Xenopus tropicalis: one gene and its partner. The protein of the gene in region 1 interacts with the protein of each later gene in a pairwise test. Links are inferred from orthologs where the notes say so. Each region holds a gene or a part of one and is shown on either strand. Other genes may lie near its edges.

Region 1 (3,829 bases):
TTATTGCTTTTGCTTCAGGGAGACACACAGACTGGTGATGTGTGGCCACACAGTAAATGTAAAGCTGGCCACACATGTGGCAATTTTCGATCGTTTGTGCGACCATCGGCGCACGAAAGATCGTTCCAACCCTCCAGTGACATTCAGGTTTCGTACGATATTATTGGTGCATGTATGGCCAAGTTTATTCAAGTTTTAGTAAAACTGCCCCTTAACCTGAATCCTCACAAGCATAATGTGTTTCTTGGTGCTGGGGTCAGTTAAAATGAATAAAGAACAAGGAAAGCTGCTTAGAATAGGTGCATCAATAGGTGGTATTTTTTTGAAAATATATTTCAGTTTATTTCTGTGCATTCTAGTCTGAGGTATTTGTGAACTGGTGAACTGGATGAATTGTGTTCTTTGACCTCTGCATGTGAATGATACCTTATGCCTTTGCATATATTCTCCCTATGTATGCTTCTATCTGTTGGCCTCTAGGCCTGGACTGGCAATCTGTGGATTTTGGCAAATGCCAGTGGGGTTACTGTATGATTCCATAGACAGTCACTATTTAGTCTGTTTGGGCCTCTGTGTACTAGAAATGGCAGCACCTATTTTAATTCCAGTTCAGACCTGGTTGCCTCCTCTTCTCTCTGTCCCATACCTATGCTACTATGTCATTTCCTTCTGCCACCCTTATTTCCTAAGTTTCTGTTCTCACACTAAAACCATCATGAAATGCCTAGCAATCCTTGGCCAGAGTTCAGCTGGCGTGAGTCATGCACGAGACAATTCGCATGTTTCTGAAACAAGTAATACATAATACAAAATTAATAATCAGGATGAGTACCTCCCTGCAATTAAAGTATTGTGAAGAATGCCAAAGCAATGTGCAAGCTGGTGACTAATGAAAAAATCATTTAGGGGCAGATGAACTAGGCAGTTCCATTTTTTTTCACATTTAATAACACTTTCCTGTCAAGATACTTAACAGGACAAAATGGACAGCTTAATCAATGTTCATAAATATGCCAGTTTGACAGATTGTGTTCTTATTTTGAGCAGTTGAACAACATTATGTTCAATCATTAATCCCCCATGCAAATTTCAAGGATGGTATTAACAATTCAAACAAAGTATCTTTCCAGAGAAAAGAGATTGTTAAACCTGAACTTTATGTATTTTTTAACAGAGATGCAAACATAATTACCAATCTCTAAAAAAGACTGAATATTAATTAACTGGCCCCATAATATGGATACAGCCCCAAGTACAACATGCTATGTGCTGAATAGATGCTAAAACCTACCGAGGCGTCATCTGAACCAGAAGCAAATGCATCTCCGCTTGGGTAGTATCTGGGCAGAAAGAGCAAATATTATTAGCAATTAAGTAGGGATTTAAGAGATCTTTAAAGAGCTTCATGGCAATGCAAATTGACCATTCAGGCTAAATGCTTTGATGATAATTATAGCATGGAGTCATATGATTTTAATGAAGCCTTCTTGGGCTAATTAGTAGCACCTTTAAAATCATACAGTATAAGGAAGTCATACGCCTGTCCATAAACACAATGAGTTGTATCTCTAAAGGTAAATATGTTCCATGATTTCCATGACGATTCCAGGTGTAAGATGGTGTAAAATAATGGCATAGTTTCCAACATTAATCTGGCATAAAAAATACAAGCCTTTATAAATAAATGATTAGCTCTTTGTAATGGCTAGCACCAAGGTGGGCAATATTGGGCTGATCCAATCATTTTGGCAGGCGATGTGTCCCCTCGCAACAATATGATTTTTAAACCAGGTAGGCCTGTTGGAGGGCCCTATACACGGGCAAATAAGCTGCCGATAGTATGAATCAACTGAATAGGCAGCTTAAATCTGCCCATGTATGGCCACTCTTAGATAGATCCAGTGGGAGAGGGACTGATGCTAAAGTAGTACACACAAACACTAACGCTTATTCTTGCATTTCCCCGCAGAGGAAACAGTGCAGCAAATGCATGGCAAATGTTTGTGTGTAACAGCCCTTATACTGATGTTTTCAACTGACCCACTTGGCCCACAAAGTGATACACATTTCTAGAAGAGATGCAAAACATCTGAAAGCACCATTTAAGCATACAGTATGTATAACTGCATATGTTAATTTAGTCATTTAAAGAATACCTGACAGATGCTGAGATAACACATTAAGTTATTACGTTGCTGTAGGATTAAATGCCAAATTACACATGGGATATCACCTAATGTTGTGGTGCTTCTGTTTGTTCAGACAAAATACCTGTCCAAACCCCAGTTTTATAGTAGCCCCTGGTGTTTTATGCTAGAATGAGGGTTTCTTATACAATAAAGTTTATTCTCTGTAGAACATGAATAAATTACTATCATAATTTCTAAGAGACTTCCTTAAACCAGGAGATATTGTTTACTTGGTTTATTAGACATAAATAGTTTATAACAAGATGGATTTTATATTTCTCATTCCCCTTGATCAAGCCTCAAACCTGAGTGTTATGCCTGAGATATCAGCATGTCTGTGGGCTTACATTGTTATATGCAGTACAAGTACACATATTTCTTCAATCAATAATGCCATCATTATAACAATATGTATTTGTATTTAGACAAATGATATGGAATTTCCCACTCATGTGTAAATGCAAAGAAAAGGAAGCACATACATACCAAATATGAGATAAACTATTCCCCACTAACTTTGATTGTCTGCTTAAGAGGAAATAGTTTCATGGTACATTTCCCTGTGTAGGCTAAATGTATAGCATAAACCTGTTCTGATACCTGATGCCATATGTAAAACAGGAATAAGCTAAATTTATATTTAGGCAAAGCAAACACAGAGCATGGGAAAGGACTGACCTGACACTGTTTATGTCAGACTCGTGGGTTTCAAACGACTGGATGCACTGCCCTGTCCGCATGTCCCATACCATTGCCTTTTTGTCACAGCCCTAAATAGAAAAGGACACACAAATAAGAGTAAAAAGAGAAATCATCTGGATCCAGTCTTCAAGTGCTGTTCTGTACCAGGAAATCCAACACCTTTTAAACCTGGCACTGACAGACATACTGACAGAAACACTAGCACAGCCCCAAGGGAGACACACTAATGGACAAACATACCCTATTTAGAAGTAGGCCTTCCCCTGAGACAGTCATGTGCAAGGGCATTTCTAAGCTACAGAGCTCACTAAAGTATGGGCTGGCCAAGGTGTTTTTCTTTAGCCAGTAACATCAGAGGGCTTCCAGCAACATGCAGGAAAGCTGGGGCCATCAACTTAAGGAAAAAGCTATTGGCCACCTTCCCTGCACTTATTGGCATTCTTAACTTGATCCCGTCTGTAGTTAGCATAAATGCAAATATCATACTGTAAAAGGAGACTCTATTTGCCACAATTTAAAAAGTTATTGACTTTGCATACATTTAAGTTTCACTATGTAGAAATGACAACACTTTAGGTAGCTACATTAAAGCAATCATGTTTAGTACTTTGTTGCATATCCCTTGAAGTCTGTGATTAATAGATATTGCCAGGTGCTAAGTATCTTCTCTGGTGATGCTCTGCCAAGCCTCTACTCAGGGCCGGATTTCTCTTTGGTGCGCCCCGAGGCCGCCCCTGTGGGAGTCCCCCATGCGCATGCGCGAACGCGCACCCCGCGGTGCGCATGCGCAAACGCGCTCCCGTTGCGCATGCGCAAGCGCGCCCCCAGTGCGCATGCGCAAAGCGCCAGCTCCCCATTGCGCATGCGCAAAGCGCCAGCGCATGCGCGAACGCTCTTTTTAACTCCCATACGGAGCAGTGGGGAGAGGTCCCGACTGC
Region 2 (4,406 bases), on another chromosome or scaffold:
TCCAGATGCATTTTGTTGCTGTATTCTCCATTCTAGAACCTGCCATGAGATCCATAAGCTTCCATTAACAATTAACAGACAACTCCAGCACACTACATGGAAAATGCTGTGTGTATGCATGTGTCACATAACCTCAATTATTTTGTGTTGATGTTTTTAAACATACTGACTATAGGTTTACTATGTGCAAGATAAATGATAACTATCAGACCAGAGTATTTATATTTTTGTACACACCTTTATGCGACACATGGATGCTTCGATCTTCAACTGCTCCACCATTTTTCTTGCTTGTCCCACACTCAGAGTGCTGTTCACTGGTGTGTCGCCTTTCATTGTGCTGCATAGGAAAATACATACAATCATGGATGTACTGTGTGTGTGCATAGATATAATATAGAAATAATAAATATTAAGGATATTTATTTTATTATTTATGCACACATTATATTAGCTATTGATATATATGTATATCCCAGAGGACATAAGGGCATCCCTTGGTACTGGAAGACAGGAGGTTTCATTTTAAGGTGTGAAAAGCATTTTTGTAGTGAGAGCTGTGAAGTTGTACTGCAGCTCTACTAGCAGATGCAATAGAGCATTTTAAGAAAGGTTTGGATGGATGGTTTGGAAAACTAGGCAGGTTTGACTAATGATATATAATGTAATATTGGAGTAAATAAAGCCAGATTTTTTTGGAACAGAAAAAAATCATTTGGTATATAAGCAGCTATATGCACTCCCACCTCTTTGGGCCTGGCATAGAAGAAGCTCTCTGACCATACTAAAATAGACAGTTGTGCATGGGGAGGCTACAAAATGGGCTGCTGTACATATGAAGGCATATACTGTACCTACTACAAGTAACCAGAAGATAAACTTCTAAGGTGCCTTTAAAGGAGATGTGTAAAAAAAAAAAACAAGAATGGGCCAGTGCATCCTAAATATAGAAGGAATGTGCTTAAAGAAGATGTTTAAGGCTGCTGATTTATTAAAAAAAAGTCTCCAAAAACGCTACTAGTCCCGCCCATCTGTTTCACCTGCTGCTACCTCCTTTCCCGGGTTGAGCAGGTAAGCCAGTGGCACTTAGCACACTGCACGGTAGTGTAGTGCCAAAAAAGGAAAAACATTTCTAGTTATAAGAAACATATTGATGCATATTTATTAAAAGATGAAATAGAGATGGCATCAGTGGGCATTTAAGTTGCGTTCTGTTTGCTTGTATGGGATTTACAGAAGCCAATAGGACTACACGAATCAGCAAATAGAGCGGCAGGTCCTACCGGCTTCTGTAACTATTATTCTGCAACCACAAAATTAAAAAAAGGTAACCACTATATAACATTTTTATTTATATACACTGTATGGCCAAAAGTATCTAAACACTTGCCTGTCCAACATCTCGTGCCAAAACCCAGGGTTAGAATATGAATTTGGTCTGACATTTGCTGTTAAAATCATTTCTACTTTGCATGGGAAAGCTTTTCACTAGATGCTGAAACAGTTGTTGGCATTTTGACCTCAAACACATTAGTGAAGTAGGGCACTGATGCTGGGGATCAGTCAGCGTTCAGTTGGGTTAAGGGCACTCTCTTTGTGTATGAGGGTATCATAATACCTAAACCTGAATAGGCCTTCCCCACACTGTTGCCACAAAATAAGAAGCACGGAATTATCAACAAAGTAATTGTATGCTGTAGAATTAAGGTTTGCTTTTACCAGAAACAATGATCTTGGAACTATAAAAACCACAGATTGCTGTTCTTTAGGGTTGCACCAAATCCACCTTTGGGGAATTCAGCCAAATGCTGAATCTGTCACAAGGTTTTGACTGTATCCAAACCATAATTTGCTTATTCAAATTAGCACAAGGAAATATCTAGTAGTAGCCTTAATTGTGTGACCCAAAGTCACGCGAGGATTTGTTTCGGCCAGTCAATTGGATACGGCTGAAATCCTGCTAGAAAAGGCCACGATTCGGTGCATCCCTGCTATTTTTCTTTTACCAGACTTCACAGTTGGCTTTATGCAGTGCCAGGCCAAAAGGTAAGGCAATCATCTGGCTGAAGCACACCCCCACATTGTGAAGTTAGGCTAGTGTGCAATTGCTCAGCCATGACAAAAATGAATAGATTTTGTGCTGATGTTGCTATAAGAGTTTGGAACTCAGCATTGAGTGTTAAACTGAGGAGATTATATACATATAATATTGCTCATATAAAGTGTCCCAATACCTGTGCCATATAGCTTATTTATTTAATCAGATATAAGAAAGTGGCTAAATCTCTTGGTCACCTTTTGAGCAGGGGTACCATGTATTATTTCTGTAGTTGATAGTGGTATCCCTTAATGTAACCCCAATAACTGCCCTACACCTACAGTACATGTAGACTGTAATAAAAAATATTCTGTGCACGATTCCATCTCTAGTGACACAAGCTCCACACCGCCTCATCCTGGGTTAGAACATTGTGCAAGTTAATATAAATATACACCAGCATATACACATGATTCCTTTGCTGGCAAAGATCTGTGACTGAAACGTAGCCCTGCCCTCCATCATTGCTGAATATTAACCAAGTGCTGTCATATTTTCCAGAAGTAACCATAACCAGTGCAGACAAATTCTTATTGTGGAGGGGCCCTGTAACCTGATTTACTATATGCATGCTCTTCAGCCATTCATTCTGTCATATCCATCCTCCGGTATTGTTACAACAATTCATTTTCTCCATCTCTGTGCTCAGCCCTGACTTGTGAGATCCTTTGGCCTGAATTACAGTATGCATGCTCTTCATTCATTTACTCCTGTGATATCTATCCTCATCATCATCCCCCCATGATGCATTTGCCCATCCCAGTTTCCCGCATATTCCCCTTTCTACAGATTTATCTCCACACAATTCTAGGCCATTTGCAAGGATGGAAGCTGCAGGGAGGGGCACATTACTCCCAATGGACAGCAGGCTAACATTTAATGAATAGTGCATCACTTGACATAGTGCATCCCATTACAAAATACACTCGGTGCCTTCCTTCTCCTCTGAGGTAGAAAACATAGTTTGTGGTACCCACCTGTCTGTCTGGTAGTGGAGGGATACAGGATGCTGATCAGTCGCTTTACTGCAGCTGTACCATATACACACACCCTACAACAAAGCAGAGGGGGAGGAGAAACCAACTGAAGGAGGATGGGAGGGTGAAAGGAAAGGGAGGGAGATAGAGGACTGAACGATTTAAAATGAAAACACAGTGCTAAGGTTTAGAGTGGGGTGAGGGAGGGGATGAAAAGGAGAAACAAAAACAAAAGGAGGAGAGATGGTAGGAGCGACTGCCCTTATATATTTTAATAAAATTATTACATCTTTATGTAATATCTATATTTATCTAAAACATCTTTAAATCTGCAAACTGAGCATATTATTTTTTATTATTATTATTAAATTGAATAATAAAGTACTACAATGTTTTGCAGTGCTGTATATGTGGGTACATTGCAACTAATTTAAAGGCACTCTAAAACATTGGGTAAAGAGGGCTCTTCCTGCAAGAGCTTACAGTCTAAAGCAAGCCACAAAATATAAAAGTAGGTAACAGCATGGGGAAGTTCATGTTGGCACTCTAGTACCCGGTGTGTATTAAATCAGCCTGTAATTGGGCACATGCAGAGAATTTCAGCTAGAAAATGCACGATATTGGGTTATGCAAAGCCTTTATACTGAGCAATACTGAGTAACAAAACCAAACAAAATTGTACCTAGGGTCACCATGGTAAAATACCAGCTAGGTGTTACCTGTCTGAGTGCTAATGAACATTTATTTTAATATTACATTTCAATATTACAAGATCGTAATTAGGGATTCACCGAATCCAGAATTCAGGTTGGGATTTGGGCAAGATTCGACCGTCAGCAGGATTCGGATTCGGCCAAACCGACGCTCCTGGTCGAACTGAATCACGTGACTTTTTGTAACATAAACATGGAAGTGCGCCATGCGTGCACATATCTAAATTAGAATTCAGTTCAGTATTCAGACAAATCCTTTACGAAGGATCCAGGGTTCAGCCGAATCCGAAAATAGTGGATTTGTTGCATCCCTAATATTAATCTTCTAACCCCCTACTCTAATATGATAAGTCATGGCAATATGAGAGAGCACCAAATTAAATGTCAAGCACACTGCTGTAAAAAGTAAATCATTACTTATCAGTGAAATGTTTTATTTTAGAAAATTGATGGCCTATGGTGCCAGGGGCGCTGCCATGAGGTGAGTCTCAGACGGCAGCACCCGCGAAGTTACCAGGGGATTAAGGTGGCCATACACATTCAGATTTAAGTCCGACAAACATTTGGATATTGATCATGTGTTTAAATTCAATGATCTGAAACTAACATTTAGACTAA

Evidence for each region.
Region 2: the proteins of gnb5 (region 1) and gng3 interact in a two-hybrid assay, tested with the Homo sapiens proteins (2 studies listed by BioGRID, with this or other methods). The link is inferred for Xenopus tropicalis from reciprocal best matches to the Homo sapiens genes GNB5 and GNG3.

Annotation. Positions count from the first base shown.
Region 1 is NC_030679.2:102,066,090-102,069,918, reverse strand, and holds part of gnb5 (guanine nucleotide-binding protein subunit beta-5), read right to left. Parts: intron 2,960-3,829; coding exon 2,868-2,959; intron 1,341-2,867; coding exon 1,292-1,340; intron 1-1,291. UniProt on the Homo sapiens protein: Enhances GTPase-activating protein (GAP) activity of regulator of G protein signaling (RGS) proteins, such as RGS7 and RGS9, hence involved in the termination of the signaling initiated by the G protein coupled receptors (GPCRs) by accelerating the GTP hydrolysis on the G-alpha subunits, thereby promoting their inactivation.
Region 2 is NC_030680.2:34,651,670-34,656,075, forward strand, and holds the start of gng3 (guanine nucleotide-binding protein G(I)/G(S)/G(O) subunit gamma-3), read right to left. Parts: upstream 3,130-4,406; 5' UTR 3,076-3,129; intron 341-3,075; 5' UTR 337-340; coding exon 238-336; intron 1-237. UniProt on the Homo sapiens protein: Guanine nucleotide-binding proteins (G proteins) are involved as a modulator or transducer in various transmembrane signaling systems.